4 linked regions of the Oryzias latipes genome follow. The protein of the gene in region 4 purifies or fractionates together with the protein of the main gene of each other region. This does not show direct contact. Links are inferred from orthologs where the notes say so. Each region holds a gene or a part of one and is shown on either strand. Other genes may lie near its edges. The genes, in order: ppie, dhx8, ccdc12 and crnkl1.

The links.
Region 1: the proteins of crnkl1 (region 4) and ppie purify together in Homo sapiens (affinity purification with mass spectrometry; 3 studies listed by BioGRID and IntAct, counting the BioPlex papers as one, with this or other methods). This does not show direct contact. The link is inferred for Oryzias latipes from reciprocal best matches to the Homo sapiens genes CRNKL1 and PPIE.
Region 2: the proteins of crnkl1 (region 4) and dhx8 purify together in Homo sapiens (affinity purification with mass spectrometry; 3 studies listed by BioGRID and IntAct, counting the BioPlex papers as one, with this or other methods). This does not show direct contact. The link is inferred for Oryzias latipes from reciprocal best matches to the Homo sapiens genes CRNKL1 and DHX8.
Region 3: the proteins of crnkl1 (region 4) and ccdc12 purify together in Homo sapiens (co-immunoprecipitation; 3 studies listed by BioGRID and IntAct, with this or other methods). This does not show direct contact. The link is inferred for Oryzias latipes from reciprocal best matches to the Homo sapiens genes CRNKL1 and CCDC12.

The regions. Positions count from the first base shown.
Region 1 is NC_019880.2:16,796,558-16,800,571, reverse strand, and holds the start of ppie (peptidyl-prolyl cis-trans isomerase E), read left to right. Parts: upstream 1-1,154; 5' UTR 1,155-1,224; coding exon 1,225-1,255; intron 1,256-1,575; coding exon 1,576-1,674; intron 1,675-1,763; coding exon 1,764-1,807; intron 1,808-2,092; coding exon 2,093-2,119; intron 2,120-2,190; coding exon 2,191-2,272; intron 2,273-2,354; coding exon 2,355-2,458; intron 2,459-3,222; coding exon 3,223-3,346; intron 3,347-4,014. UniProt on the Homo sapiens protein: Involved in pre-mRNA splicing as component of the spliceosome. Combines RNA-binding and PPIase activities.
Region 2 is NC_019877.2:18,259,326-18,263,491, forward strand, and holds the start of dhx8 (ATP-dependent RNA helicase DHX8), read right to left. Parts: upstream 2,816-4,166; 5' UTR 2,753-2,815; coding exon 2,644-2,752; intron 2,129-2,643; coding exon 2,043-2,128; intron 1,957-2,042; coding exon 1,884-1,956; intron 1,743-1,883; coding exon 1,651-1,742; intron 1,558-1,650; coding exon 1,451-1,557; intron 532-1,450; coding exon 175-531; intron 66-174; coding exon 1-65.
Region 3 is NC_019874.2:16,703,399-16,707,394, reverse strand, and holds the start of ccdc12 (coiled-coil domain-containing protein 12), read left to right. Parts: upstream 1-1,134; 5' UTR 1,135-1,182; coding exon 1,183-1,266; intron 1,267-3,996.
Region 4 is NC_019882.2:16,307,190-16,311,492, forward strand, and holds the start of crnkl1 (crooked neck-like protein 1), read left to right. Parts: upstream 1-1,445; 5' UTR 1,446-1,584; coding exon 1,585-1,632; intron 1,633-4,192; coding exon 4,193-4,303. Other genes in the region: cfap61 (cilia- and flagella-associated protein 61), read right to left, coding at 1-50, 148-298, 513-670. UniProt on the Homo sapiens protein: Involved in pre-mRNA splicing process. As a component of the minor spliceosome, involved in the splicing of U12-type introns in pre-mRNAs.

The sequences.
Region 1 (4,014 bases), on a different chromosome or scaffold from region 4:
TTTAATACAAGAAGTGCCCAAGTCCAGAGACTTTAGTTTGCTAGTCCTCTGAAATTATAAAAATGAGGTGCTTCATATTATAGCATTTGTAAGCTATGAGCTGGTGCTAAATCTGGGTAAAGTATTAATCATTTGGTGTTGCCTCCCTTTAAGCTATGCAATTAAAATCATTTCCTGAAAAAAAAACCTCTTGGACTTGGGCCCCTTTTGAACTAACCGATTCAATTCTGAATTGTCCCTTAGGTGTGAATGTGAGTGTGTGTGGCCTTGTGACAGGCTGGTGACATGTCCAGGGTGCACCCCCCTTTTGCCCAACAGTGTCTGGGATAGGCTCCAGCAACAGAGTGAAACCAAACGAGATTCGATGGGTTTGGGAAATGGATGGTTTGGATGTATCATTTGGAACAAACTACCAAAAATTCTCTGTAAGTGAGAATTTACATTTAAAAATGTTGATCTTTTTTAGCTGTTGACCTGTTCTTCTGAATCGGCCATAAACACAGCTTTCATCAGTGAATTATAATGTTATTGTTTGTAGTGAAACACAATGTATTGTGCTTTACAACTCTAGTGCTACAAAGGGAGTGGGGTAAAATTGTGCCCTTAGGGTTTTGTTTCAGATAAAAAGTATAAAACCTTAGTTAAAACATGGTTGGGTTTCCGTAAGAAGAAGGTGAGGACTGCTGGGTCACTAAAAGCAGTGCTTCTCAACCTTTTCCCACTTTCTCTGCCAGGTAACCCTCAACAGTAAATCAGTTTAGAAATACAGAAAATTTATGGAACAATAAGATAAAAAATAATTTGAAAGTAAAAACAGTTTAAAGGGATTTAGCAGCATTATAACAACAAAACTCTAAAGCAAAAATTACATAACATTAGTGTATTTTAGCTGTCCAAAAATTATTGTGATACATAAAGTATATATTATATTTGAAACCACTGAGCTGTTTTGTTTTATTTTTAAAACATAGTTAGGTATTTCCATTTAAAAAACAAAAAAGACAAAAAGCCAAAACGACAAATATGATTGTTTTCATCTGAAAACTCTGGCACATTTCACAAATGTGTTTGAAAAGAGTCATATTGACGGTCATTGGCTCTATAGATCAGTTGCTGGACCTAAATATGACCAATAGAGGGCGCTGTGGATAGTTGAAGAGGCGGGCTTCCTTTTGATTCCACCAATCAGAGGCCGAGGTTAAAGTTCAACATCTAGAATCCAATATGGCGTCGAATAAAAGGGTTCTGTATGTCGGTAAGTAATGATAACTTTTTAAATTAACTATGAATGTCAGACCGATCAAGTTACACTCCACTCTGAACTAAAACAGAAATTAAAAGCTCTTTTATGCTAATTCCTTCTATAAAAACTTTTTTTTACCATTTATGCGGGGAAAACCAAGGCGAGTCAACGTTGTATTCCGGTCTTATAGAAACCATCACATGCTGCTAAGCCAACTCATACAGAGCTCACTGTTTTCGACTTTAACATCCTGGTTAATGTACGATGTGTTCATTCAAAAGTACGAAGATGAAGCATTGAGTGTTGAGTGTTTGCGCTGCTGCTTCCTCCAGGTGGTTTGGCGGAGGAGGTGGATGAGAAGGTTTTACACGCAGCCTTTATTCCCTTTGGAGACATCACAGACATCCAGATACCCCTGGATTATGAAACAGGTCAGATCAAGTTTTATTTTATAATCATATAACAAAAAAACAAAAAAAAAACCCTGATCATTTAAGTATTTTTTGTGCTTACATTTTAGAAAAGCACAGAGGCTTTGGGTTCATTGAGTTTGAGCTGGCAGAGGTTTGTGCTTTTAAAGTTTTCTCCTTTTGAATTGAATTATTGATGGCACAAAGGATGGATTCAGAAAACTCATTTTTTAAAAGGTATTCACTTGAAAAACGTTATAGATTCACCAAACCAACAAGAAAAACTTTTATTTGTTGTTTTTTTTAAAGTGCAAATCAAACTCTTTGATTTGATCATATTAATTTGAAAATAACCCAGAGTTGTATCGGTGAATCTTTAACAAAAGTGAGCTTTTATTTTCTTGAATGCATCCCTTTCTCATCACTGTCTTTCCTTCAGGATGCAGCAGCAGCTATTGATAACATGGTAAGTGACTAACAGTTCTTCTTATTCTTTAAAAAGATTGGGTTTAAATTGTAGCTTTTTTTTGCTGCCAGAATGAGTCTGAACTTTTTGGACGGACTATCCGAGTGAACATCGCTAAGCCCATGAGAATCAAAGAGGGTTCTTCTCGACCAGGTAATCATAGAAGAAGATTCTTAAAATCTGCTTTGTTTTTTATGATGTGGTTTTGACCTGTAACTCTTGTTTTTGTGTTCAGTGTGGTCGGATGACGACTGGCTGAAGAAGTTTTCGGGGAAAACCTTGGAGGAAGCCGAGGCTGAGGCGGTAGCAGCAGGAGAGGCACCCAGCAAAACACAGGAGGTGAGAACTTTTTGTTTTGTTTTCAGGACACTCAGTTTATTCAGGGAATTAGATTCTAGATATTTAAGGTATAAGGTCACTGCATAAACATGTAGTAAATGAGCAATCTTTTTTTCTCTTTAAATCTTAATTTTTAGAGTATAGTTCAATAAATTTAAATGTACAGACCCGTTAGAGGGCCTTTATTTTATTTTTTCACTGAGAAAAGCAGGTTTTGGTGAAATATTGTTGCGTCAGTGTAAGACTAAAAATGAAGAGTGTAAAATGTACAGTGAATGATGAAATGTCATGTCAGGAGTGAAAATCTGTCTAATTTATATAAAAACACATCAAAACGTGACTCATCAAAAAAGCAGGTTTGTGTTTACAATCCAGAGAAATCTGCATTTTCTTAGTAATCCTCATTTAGATTAGTTTGATTGATCCACTCTCCCAATTAGAGAAACCAACTTTATCACTCGCATAACAGTAATAAAATTAGAATTAAAATTGATTCACTGGAGGAAGCAGGTTTCTTATTAAATGCACTAAATGAGTAAATTATCTGGGTGTGTGGGTTTATTTGGAAAGTCTTGGCGCATTTGAACAACAAAGGGAATCAGAAATCCTTTACAGCATTTGAGCAGAAATTACTTCCATAACGGTTGAGAGATAAAGTTAAAAAAAAAAACATTTGTAGGACTATTTTTCATTTATTTATTCATTTTTGCAGGGCTTTGTGTAGGCAATAAAAATATGATAAATGCATTTTTCTGATTTTGCAGGGGGAGCCACAGGCTAAAAAGAGCCGAGTAAATCCACAGGTCTACATGGACATCAAGATTGGGAACAAAGCAGCAGGAAGACTGCGCTTCCTCCTGCGGGCGGACATCGTTCCGATGACTGCAGGTCTGCACACTCAACCAAAAGATGAAGCAAATATTAACATTCTTCTAAAAAAGTGCAAACATTTGCAGTAGGGGCAAAAATGTATTCAGTCAGCTACTATTGTGCAAGCTCTCCCACTTAAAAAGATGAGAGAAGCCTGTCATTTTCATCATAGGTATACCTCAACTATGAAAGACAAATTGAAGGAAAAAAATCAATAATTTACAATTAAATTCTCAAGAAATGTGATTTTTTTTTTCTTCTAATTTTGTTTCTCATAGTTGAGGTATACCTATGATGAAAATGACAGCCTCTCATCTTCTTAGGTAGAAGAACTTGACCAATTGGTAGCCGACTAAACACCATTTAACCCCACTGTGTCCTTTAGTCTCTCTTTGAGGTTGCTGATGCACACTCTATTTACTTTGAATATAATATCAGTCTTCTAAATTCTTTATAAATTATTCAAAAAATGTTTTTCTTTCTGTTTTTATAATAAAAAATAAACCTACTCCCCAATTCTGATTTGAGACAGGACCTGAACATATTGAGATTTCATATCCTATTTTTTTTTTTAGTCTGGGGCTGTGGTCTTACAATATATGACATAACCGAGACCCCTGTTGGAGAGAAATGGCAAAACCACAACTACACATTAAAAAGTCATGTTTCAAACAAATATAGGGACT
Region 2 (4,166 bases), on a different chromosome or scaffold from region 4:
CCACATTGGCGACTCGTCCCTCTCTACGCAGCTCAGAGATGTGGACTAGTCCCTCCCACCGCTTCCTAAACCAGAAGAGTTCACAACACGAAGGCACAAGAGCAACAGACCAGGAAGGTCAGAAAAATCTTTGAAGTTATTCAGGGTAATTGATTTTTTAAACCCCACACTGACCTTAATCCCTCCAGTTGGACGAAACATCCAAACTGCATGATGCTGGTGATCTTGCCATTGTAGATGTCCCCAACAGAAGGTTCCTCTGGAGGGGGGCGGTCCACATGTTTGTCCTTCCAGCGGTCTCCATCCCTGTCCTGCTCCTTTCGGGGACTGGGGGAACGGTCACCCCAGCGGGAGGACTTCTCCCTTCGTTTGCCTCGGTCTCTATCTCTGTGGCGATCTCTGGAGCGAGATCTGGATCGAGATCGAGAACGATGGCGCCGCTTCTTGTCTCTATCTCGATCCCTGGCTCGGTCTCGGTCTCTGTGTCTGTCTCTGCTTCTACTTCTGCTGCGATGCCTGCTTTTATCCGACCTAAGATACATAATTGCAAGAAACTCAAAGTACATTCTACCCTGGAGAGGATCTCCCCAGTCAGCGTTTTCCAACCACGGTCAGAATCATGTCATTGCAGTTCATAGTGTATGTAACACATCGAATCTGTAAACACACTTAAAACAGCATCACCCGAATGTAAAAATCGGGTCTACAAGCAAAAAAAAAATGTGCAAGTTAAAATGTTTTTAATTTTTTCCAACCCAGTGTAAAATATTCAAAGTTTTTGGTTCCTGACAGCTAATAATTTTTCTTATTTTATAAAGCAATCACCTACATTGGTCAATTTTTATTTATTGTTACATAAAACCAATAAATGCATTTTGCAAAGAAATCTTTTTCTGGCTTTTTTATACTGAAAAAATACCGAAAATGTACCAGACTGAGCCCTATGAAATTCAGAACTAGAGCTGTGACGGTGTGGGATTGCGGTTAACTGATGATTTTAGGTGTCACGTAAAAGCCACTGCGGCGAGCAACAAGCCCCATGCTCCGCTCCATTCTGCTACATTCCCTGGTGGACGACTAGATCCTCGTCGGAGCTGGTTTCTGGCCCAAAACTGGATAGCTCCAATAGATGGGTGACGAAGAGTGGGGGCGGGCTTGCTCAGTGCCAACAGTTTCAGCCCACAACTCAGAGTTAAATTTCTAATGAACTCCTGCTGCTCTGCACAAACTAAGTCCTCATATGACACAGATTTTTGGATTTTGGCTAAAAATATCATCATCATAATTAGAAAACTACTGGGAACGCTTTGAAACTATATCAAAAGAGGATCAGACTGGGACTTAAAAGACCTTTTAAGAATCTGTGGTCACACTGTTTACTGTTTCCATTTTACACAATAAAACAAACTTCTATACAAATGATTTTATTCTACAAAAATCAAAGTCTTACTTTGTCTTGCCCCCCTTGGACTCTGCCCCACTCACGCTGGGCATAAACATCTCAAGCTCTTTCATCGCATCAGCTGCTACTTTGACATCGTCCTCATCCAGGTGTTGCTAAAGTATTCAAACACCAAAAAAAAGTCAAATGTCAGCATTTTTTCATTAAAAAATGAATAAATAAAGTGATAAAATCCTTTCCCAACTTACTTTTGGTACAGGATCATCGGGTCTACAGAGTGCGGGGAACATCTCCTTTAGCCTGTCTTTCTCTGATTTGGGTTTGACAGATGCTTCTGAGACTGAAAGAGATAACACTTGCTTAGTTTAAACGAGAAGCAAACAAAATCACTATTTATGGATGACTGATCTGAACTATGTTTGGTATAAATATGCATATTAGCTGTTAAATCAGGAGAAAATGTTCCTCAGCATCAACATACCTTTACTCATTGATGCTTTGGATGGAGGTTGCATCGTCTGAATGAGTCTGAGCAAGTTGCTGATGAGAGAATCCTGAAAATCAAACAGCAAAACGAGGCGGTTTTCAACAGGAGCCACCGGAGAACGGGTCACAGGTCAGCGGCTGGAAGTGGACTTACTGTGAACTCGGCTCCATTTTCAAGTAAAACAGCTTTGAATCCATCAAAGGCTGGTTGTTTCTCAGCGAGGCTGATGACGAACTCAGCTGGGAAATGAGAAACAGAAGGTTTTTTCAACAAACACAAAAAAAGACCTGCAAATTTACTGGATTAATGAAAACGTTATATCAATTTATGAATATCTAAAAATGATTAATCCAATGAAGGCTTATTGAAAGATATTAGTTGTTGCTTTCTACGGGAGTCTTTGATGTGATCTGTAATTTGTTCATAGACTTAAACATTGACATTACTGTTTTTCGATCAATTAAAAATAAAAACTATTCAATATGCCACTGCGTGCCTGCTGCTGAAAAGAAACAAGCTAACTACATAGCTAGAAACGTATTTTAAAATAAACGAATATTCAATACGTAAGCTAGGTCATGCGCGCATGACGGTAACAGTATTCTTAACATGTTTAACTGTTGTTTGTATTCTTTAACAAGGAATAAACATTGGGATACGCTTTAGTTTGTTTACAGCCACATAACAGCTAGTTAGCCTAGCAAAAGCTAACTAGATGTTTTTAAACAATTCGGAGTGAGAAAAAAACACTCACCTAAATCCTTGTCGTTTATTCCTAAATGATTGTCGAGCTCCGTGCAAACCTTGGACACTAAAGACAAGTATTCGAGCTGCGACAGCTCTTCTAACCCAATGTCTGCCATCCTCCACGAGCCTTGTTTTTGTTCAGAGATCGTAGCAGACAGCGGACAGGTTAGATATTTAATCACTTCCGGAGTAAACGGAAATACGATCCTGGGGATTTGGTAGCTTATCATTTCCTGCTACACGATGGCGCCAAAGCTTCGATAAATAAAACCCATTAAAAGTTAAGGAAAGTGGTAAAAATAGAATAGTGAAAAAAATAAAAATAAACCCACCTGAAGAGTAAATTTAACTGCTGAAAGTATAGTTTTTTTCTATGGCAAATATTCTTTACGAGATATTCAGTGAAATAATAAGTTTAACTTTATATATTAGTATATGTTATTTCTCTACTTGCTTTAAAAGAATGCTTTTATCTGCTTTATCTCCTCTAATTTTATGTGGACTTTCAGTGTTGGGGTTTTGTAAAGACGGTTCAAAAGCAGGATGCCATGATGGGTTCAAGCCAAAGTAAACTAGCAGATCTTTGAGTATACTATCACATTGTAGTAACATTTTTATCCTTATGATAATATACCTTAAATTTGACACATGCTGTATTTTTTGACACATCAGAGCTATCCGGCTTTATGGGTTTAAAACTCTAGAAATTACACCTAAACTACTTTTCTGAGGCTTTTTTTTTTAAAGAAAATGATCTCAAACCAGAAAAATAAAAATTTTTAAAAAAGAAAATTGGACGGTTGAGAAAGTTGAGCATGCCAGGGACTTGCATTTGATCAATTACAGTGGCAATTCTGCATAACGTTGATCCCTCTAATGAGATTGTATGGATGCTTAGATTGCTCTAACCATGGTCTTCAGCTCTTCTGTGTTGTTGAACATCTGGTATCTCATATCTTCCTATTTTTTATAGCCCCGAACATTTACAGGATTTAGGTCAGGTGAGTCTTAATCAGTTTCAGGGATACCAGGCTCTCTAAACCAGGAACTGATATCCTTGACAGTGTGGGCAGAACTCAAATCAGCATCTCAATAATGCCGGTCAGCCATGAAAACCTTTGGGAAATAGCTGCTCTGACCTTGGATTGTACTGAACACGGCACAAATATCAGCCTGGGTTCACATAGTTATAATGATTTATTCAGTAGAAAAAATATTGAAAGGAAAACAGATTAAGGGCTTTTATAAATCCATATTGCATCTGGAGTGAAGATCACTTTTAATAGATAAATCTAAAATACTTCTGCAGGCCTAACATACTCTGAGCTGAAGCTGGGAAATGTGTCGCTAACAGTTACAAACCTCGGATGTGTACAGATCACATGTTACATGTACATGTGTGCCCTCGGAGGATTTCAGCTGTGAGATTAAATGAAACAAAACAGGGAACGAAAGAAAGACAGACATAAAAGACAAGTTTGTTTCTTTTGGAGCAAATTCCAAAGACTGCATGAGATGAGAGTCTATGTG
Region 3 (3,996 bases), on a different chromosome or scaffold from region 4:
AATAGGATACAATTTTCATGGCCAAGATTTAAATAATCATTTGTCTTTTGAGTCACGTTGTGACACTTAAGCAACATGTGATCCACATAAAACCAACCACTATACCATAATCGAAAAAGTAGTACCGAGGTTGTTTTGTTGTTATGATTGTTGTTGAGTGGGGGTTTGGATTTTTATAAGCTTTCACTTCTTCCATTCCCCTTTCAAATCTTATTTTCCAAGTCATGTATTGCCTTATATTTTCTTTTTCCAGGTAAATGTTGATTTGATTCCAAATAAACGTGTTACTTGCGAACACAGATCATATCCAAACATGTCTCATACCAGCATAGCTGGATGGGGATCTACTAAAAAAACTATTTTGTGTATAGGATCTTTGTTTAGGTAATTAACCATTAACACAAAGGTCAACTTTTGTGAGTGTTTTTGTTGTTTGCATCTTGGCAACTTCAAAATAAAACAAATAAAAGATGAAAAAAATATATGTATTTTACTTATATTATATAAAGGTTTGTGTTAGATATTTCAGATGGAGAACAATTATGTGCAACACCATTTTTTTCAGCTCTCTTTACTATGCACTGTATTAGGAAAATAGTGAAATCATATCTGCTTTGACTCAAAGAAATATAACCAAGAATTAAAAATTAATAATCACAAGTTTCAAGTTGTCCTCTTTATGACCATCTGCAAGACCTTTTTTTAGAATCGTTATCACAGCTGGGTGTGTCTTCACGCACTAGTGTTATTCATTTATAGGAGAATTGACATGAAGCGTGGAGCAGCTGTATTAATGTGGCCTTCATTCCCAAATAGGACCTGATACTGCAACCGTGAACAAAAAGGATGCTTGACCAGTGCAGTAAGACACCTATTCACTTTAATCATAATGTCATAAGTTGATCTAAAGGTAAAATGCTTATATATAAAGCGTTGGAAACCACAGTTAACAGAAAACAGATAAACCAACGCATTAAAAAAATCTGTTTTCTTTAACCTAATTTTACAGTAGATAATGTAAAATATATCATGAATTGGAATGAGCAAGACTGTAGAAAACTGAAAATATGAAGTCACGTGAACAAAACAGGACAGCTCAATCGATGTGTTCGGCGATTGTTTGTCCCCTACCAGTCCTACTAGAAGATTTCAGATGCAATCGAGTGGCGTGTGGAAACAAACATGGAGCAAAGTGTTGGGTCGCTTCAGGAACAAGCCCTCAAGAGGAAAGAAAGACTCAAAGCACTGAGAGATAAAAAGCTTCACGTAAGTTTCAGGCCTGCTGGCTGTTTCGTTTCTACTAGTTGGACGGAAACGACCACTTTCAGGCTAATGAATGACAGAGATGCTAACATTTAGCTCCAGAATTAGCACACTGAAGCTAACTCTGCTGCTTTTGACTCAATAAATTCATTAATAGACCCCATTTGTGGATTGCTTTAAGTATTTCAAGGCTAATGAGGTACAAAACAAATAATATACAATGTATATCGTGCTTGCTTCCCCCGGAATCGAAACTATATCAAATCAATAAACTCGCTAATTTAACTTGATTTCAGGAACACTTTTTTGGGCTCCACATTTTTTCCCTGACGGCCTCCTTGTTTATCTGTTGTGTAGTTACAGTCAGGCTGTCGATATCTCTTTGACTGAGGGCGCAGACCAGCAGGTTACTGAGATAAGACAAATGACCCTCTTTCTATAGTGACCTCTCACAACAAAAATGTTGTTTCTTCGCCATTTATTCATAAGTGCTGGAAAGAATTGTTTTCTAAGTTATAAATATAAAATCCAATATTTAGAAAACTGCATATAGTCAAGGACTGCAATAAGGATTTTACATTTACAGAAAAAAAATAATATTATGAGAGTTTTTGATAATTGTACATTTCAGTTTCTCTTCAGTGGGTTGTGGAAACAGGCTCTTGGGGGGTGAGGAGGTACTCCCAGATAGCTGGATAACTATAGCCAACGTGATCAGGGAGACAGGTAAGAGTTTACTTGGAGTGTCATCAGGGAAAAAAAGGTTGATAAGGAGACTTGGTGGTGGAATGAGGAGGCGCAGGAGTTTATACAAAGTAAGGGGCTATCTAAGAAGAAGTGGGACACTGAGAGGACTGAGGAGAGGAGACAGGAGTTCAGAGAGATGCAGCAGGTTGGGGTGATGAAGGATGGGAATGGTTATGTATTGACAGGTGTCAGTAGTGTGAATGGAAAGATGGGAAGAATTGATGAGAGGGAATAAAGAATAGAAGAGGTGACTGTTGTGAAGCACGACGTAAGATTAGTAAGGGTGAAGTGACGGGGGCATTAAAGAGGATGAAGAGTAGAAAGACACTTGGTCCTGATGTGATGATATATCTGTGGAGGTATTGAAGTGTCTTGCAGAGATGGCAGTAGAGTTTTGGACTGGGTTGTTAAACAGGATCTTTGGTGGTGAGATGATGCCTGAGGAACTGCGTAGGAGGGTCTAAGAACAGGGTTGTTTAGTTTAGTTAGTTCAGTTTAGAATCTTTCTATTGAATTGTGTGGGTTCATGATCCTTTTGATTTTATGTTTTACCCTACATTTATCTGCACAAAGCCCATCGAGACGACTGTGGTTGTGATTTTGGGCTATACAAATAAAATTGAATTGAATTGAATGGAGGAGAAGTGTGACGCTGCCCATATTTAAGAATAAGGGAGATGTGAAGAGTTGTTGCAGTCACAGATGAATAAAGCTGATGAGCCATACAATGAAGTTATGGGAAAGAGTAGATGAAGCTAGACTTGGAGCAGAAGGGAACATTTGTGAGCAGCAGTTTGGTTTCAGATGCAGTATGTGCTTTGAGGATGATAGAGAAGGTCAGAGGGAGCTACATGTGTCTTTGTAGATCTGGAGAAAGCTTATGACAGGGTGCCCAGAGAGGAACTATGGTAATGTCTGACGAGGTCTTGAGTGACAGAGAAGTGTGTTAGAGGAGTGCAGGACATGTATGAGGGCTTTCAGACAGAGGTGAGATTTACTGTTGGGGTGACAGAGGAGTTCAAGGTGGGGGTGGGATTACATCAGGGATCAGCTCTGAGCCCCTTCCTGTTTGCAATGCTGATGGACAGTGTGACAGATGAGGTTAGACAGGAAGCGCTATGGATTAAAGCCCCATTAGTTGTCATTCACTTAGGTGTGGGAATGTTGCTCTCCGCGTTTGACCCATCCCCTGGGGGAGCGGTGAGCTGCAGACACAGACGCCCAACTCCAACTGGTGTCAAGCAGGGAGGCATTGGGTCCCATTTTTAGAGTCTTTGGTATGATTCGGCCTGGATTTGAACACACAACCCTCCAATTTCAGGGCGGACACTCTACCATAAGGCCACTGAGCTGGATTATGATGTTTGTGGTTGGTATTGGGATTTGTAGTGAGAGCAGGGAACAGGTGAAGGAGAAGCTAGAGGTGGTGGTTTGCTCTGCAAAGGAGAGGAACGAAGGTCAGTTGCAGCTAGATGTTACAGGGAGAAGACATGAAGATGGTGGAGGATTTGAACTATCCAGGGTCAGAGTGTGGAAAAGAAGTGAAGAAGCGAATGCAGGGAGATTGGAATGGGTGGAGAAAAGTATCAGGTGTGATAGAAGAGTTTCAGCTCAAATCTGTGGTGAGACCAGCCATATTGTTCGGCCTAGAGACAGTAGCCTGAGAAAAAGACAGGAAGCAGAGCTGGTGGTAGCCGAGATGAAGATGCTGTTCTTCTCTTTAGTAGTGACAAGGATGGATTGGATCAGGAATGAGTAGATCAGAGGGACAGCGCATGTTGAAGGGTTTTGGAGATAAAGGCAGAGAGGCCAGACTGAGATGGTTTGGACGTGTGTCCAGAGACGGTGAACATAGGATGCTGAGTCCAGAGGAAGACCAAAGAGGTTTATGGATGCAGTGAATGAAGACATAAAGGTAGCTGGTGTTAGAGTAGAGGATGCAGAAGACAGGAGGAGTAGATGGAGAAAGCTGATTCGCTGTGGCCA
Region 4 (4,303 bases):
GCAAAATCTTCTCGTGCCACAAAAAGGTGAAGGAACAGTGTATTCAAAGACTGCAAAAATTAAACATATTTAAGACAGAACCGCAACATAATTAGTCTTTTTTAAAACATTTATGTTTAAAGAGATGATTAAATAAGTGACGCAAACTGTGCATTGTGGGGAGCTGAAGTGTTTGTGCAGAAACTGTTCCCACTGGGCCTGATCCACCAAGTCTCCAATGGGATGATCGACGAAGACAGCATGGGCCACAATGTCCTGGTTTTCATTGACCACTGTCAGGGCGAAGCTGGCTTTGTCTCTACAAGGAAGATCCCAAAAGACAAAAAAAAGCAAAATTATTTTATAAAAATAAATAACTTAAGTTAATAATTTATCATCAAAAGCAAATACATGTTTACTCTTTCTTTCAAATTACCATGGTCTTTAAACACTGACTGTATGGGATTAAATGTCAAAGACACCATAGGCTACAAGTCTGTAGATTTTTTGTTTTTAAAATACAATTGACCTACTCAAGTTGAACAACGTTGACTCTTCCAAAAATTGGACTTGTGGAGGTTGTTAGGCTCTCAATCCACTCAATGTCTGCTGATCCACCTCCTACAACGATAGTTTGACGGCTTGCGTCCTCAGCTAGACAGTTTAAAGTTTCAGATTTCATGATGATCATCTAGTGAGAGCAGGAGAAAACCGGGAAAAAAAGTCGCGATATAAGCAAAAAACGAGTAAAAATAGCTTCTTCTTTTTTTTCTTCTACAAGGTTTACTAACTCCTTGTTTTAGATAAAGCAATCCACATACTAGCTGCAACTTACTGTTCAATAACTGTGGAATGACAGAGTAGCTCCGAAAGTTTTTTTTTTTTTTTTTTTTTTTCAAGGGCAGTTGTCACAGCAACTGACGCCGCGCGGGTAGAACCATTTGTAGCCCAATGCATTGTGGGTTATCAAAGGACAATAAACAAACAAACAAACGAAAACAAATAAATAAATAAAGTTATTTGTCAAGGGAAAAAATAACTTGGCTTTTTTTCCTATTTAACATAAAACGTTTTTGCAAAATTACCTATTTGCAGACACTTGGTCAGATATTCAAGATATCAGCAAATTAAGATTCTAAACAGTGGTTACAAAAAAAAAAATATTTATTTATTTATTATAATTATTGAGTGGTAAAAACATCATCACTCTGTTGTAAATGTCAAAATAATAAAAAAATGGTCTAAGTGCAATTCACAAAAGAGCTAAAAAGCAACATTTTTCTTACTCAGAATCAGATGATAAAAGCAAACGCATCTGTATAAAGTTACTCAGAATATTTCTCTTTAAACATTAATAAGAATGCATTCTATGTCGTGATCTTCTCTGCGTTGTACACTCCAGTCCACGTGGTGCCGACAGCGGGCGTGAACTTCTAGGTTGGAACCGGAAGCTAAAAGAAAGAAATGAATTGTGGGTACTGTCATGGGCGCTCACACCGAGCAACAAGCGAGCAAACGATTTTGTTGTTGTCACTAACCAGTATACCATTTTAGAAATTGAACTTGGCATTTTAACGTAAACTGTTGACTTGCTAAGTAGTCAATATGGCCTCTACTGCTGCTGGAAAACAGCGGATACCAAAGGTGGCTAAGGTAAGTGAGAACGAAATAGCAAAGCTCTCTTAACAGCTTCGCTAAGCTAATGCTAATAATCATTTTCCCCCCAAAGGCACCCATTTTTAGTATTGCTGGCTTTTTATTTAATCATTAAAAAAAAAAGTGTGTAATACATGTGTAACAATGCAACAACAACGTTTTCACATTTTTACAATAAGAAACTATAATGAACAATTTTCAAAACTAAACTTATTTAACACTATTCTGAAAGTTCTAACAAAGAGAGTAACAACATGGTGACCTGCTTAGTTAAATTAAAATGTAACAATATGCTAATTGTTTTAATAATTTGCGACGAATCTTTATTCATTTTCCAAAACAGAAAATTATAAATCATTTTTTAAACAATTGTACAGAAGGGGAACCTTTTTTTTAAATCAATTTCATCTTGTAGTTATAATGTTTTTGCAAGAATTATTATCATGTTGAATATGTTGTTTGACTGGAAAACACAATTATGAAATACAAATATTTTATGTTGAGATAATAAAACAATTTCCCCAGGCATTACTTTAGATATGTGTACTATATCAGGCCAGAAATATTAAAACATGACAATGTACAAAGACATGTTTGCCTAATATATTCACCATGGCGCTGGCAGAAAGAGCACTTATTCCATACATTTGGGAGAAACAACAAATATATTGCGTTTTTTTTTTTTTTTACTGGGTGATATTTAAGGATAATTTAGAAGATAAATCGTTTAATATTATTTACATTAATATAGGTTTTTGCTAACAGATTGTTTCCCAAAGTGTTTTTACATACACTTTTTTCAATTAGACTTATTCCTTGAACTTAAAGTGACACTATGGCATTTATTTTAAGTTGTATTATTTGATGTAGAATAGACATAATACTCATTTTAAAACCTGTTTAAGGAACAATATTGGATTTGCCTAAAGAACTCACATACGTATAGCATTCACCATTATCATCCAGTAACTAGTTTACTGTACTTATATTTATAATGAACCTGGCATTTATTTATTTTTGTGTAAAATGTTCTATGGACTGTGATAACTACATGTTCAATCTGCAATGTTGCAACTCTGTCGTGATTTAAGCAACTTTTCTTTCCAAGATTTGATCATGTAAAAACAATAAAAAAACAACAACAAAAATGTACTTATTGTATTGACACTGCAATGCAAACTGAAAAGGAATCTATGGTCTTAAAAATACACTTTTTGCTTCTCTTTTTTTCAAATGCAAGAACATATTTTCAACGAAATTACTACGTAACTTAGTTAATCGAAGCTGAAGGTTTCCATTTATGCCGCTTCGGTTTGTCTCCTTTAATTTACCAGATAAATATTTACCTCCATTCAAACAACGCTTGCCATAACCTTCAGTGCAGTGACCACAAGCAAGTTATAGCAGGTTTACATTTCTTTCACTTGTCTATGATTGTCTATTTCTTTCACTTTAAATTAGGTAAAGTTAGAGAATTGAATTGCTGACACTTACTGCAGAGGTGAACTGAAATTAACACATTTTTCCATTTCCTGTTTTTTTGCCAAATGCTGAAACTCACTTAAAACTTGTTGCATTGTGTCCTTGGGCAAGACACTTCACCCTCCCTGCCTCCAGTGTTGCTCCACTGGTGTGTGAAGTAAGGGTTAATGGCCGACGAAGTGTGCGGTTACTACTTTTTAACGCACGCCGTGGAAGCCTGCTTCCGCGAAGTGCGTTAAAAAGTAGTAACCGCACACTTCGAAGGCCATTAACCCGCTTATACCATGGTCACTTACAAAAGCAATACATATTAACCAGGTTTTAGTCCTTAATTCTTGTTTTTTTTTTCGATTTGTATCACTTTTCTCATAAACAGCGTACTATATGTTACGTGATGCGGCGCATCGCGCCGCATCACGTAACATATAGTCCGCGTCGCGCAGCACCACCGCTGCAGTTAAGATTCGGCGATAAATATATATGCTGATCGTCCCGATGGGTTGAATAAAGCATCAATTCAGAGGGAAAGTTCACCTCTTACCGCTTGTTTTTGCCCCGATGATGAAGCAAAAGGTTGTTATACAGAAGCCGGCGCAGTGATACAAATCATTTAAGCTAGCCGACCGGAACTTCTTTTTCACCGTGCGGTTATCAGGTTTTAACGCATACCCAGCAGCCAATCAGAATCGAGTATTCAACCGGACCATGGTATAATGTGTATGAATGTCTCGGTGATGGTCAAAGGGGCCTTAGGTACGACCTGGCCGACACGCCTCTGTCATTCTGCCCCAGGGCGGCTGTGGCTACAACAGTAGCTACCATCACCAAGTATGAGGAGTGAATGAACAATGGACACATTGTAAGAGCTTTGAGCTTCTGGAACACACCGAAAAAAGTCCAATTTATTATTATTTTTATCATTAAGTATTTAATGAAATATGTGTATTTATTTTGGAGTTTACTAGCAAAGCACGGTTATTAAACCTTATATGTACATGTTTCCACTGATAATGTATTTTAAATAAGGATACCTGGGAATATGCAACATTTGTAAAGACTGTGTTTTGCGTTTTAGGTGAAGAACAAAGCCCCAGCAGATGTGCAGATTACAGCTGAGCAGCTGCTGAGAGAAGCCAAAGAAAGGGAGCTTGAACTTCTGCCACCACCTCCGAAACAGAAGATCACC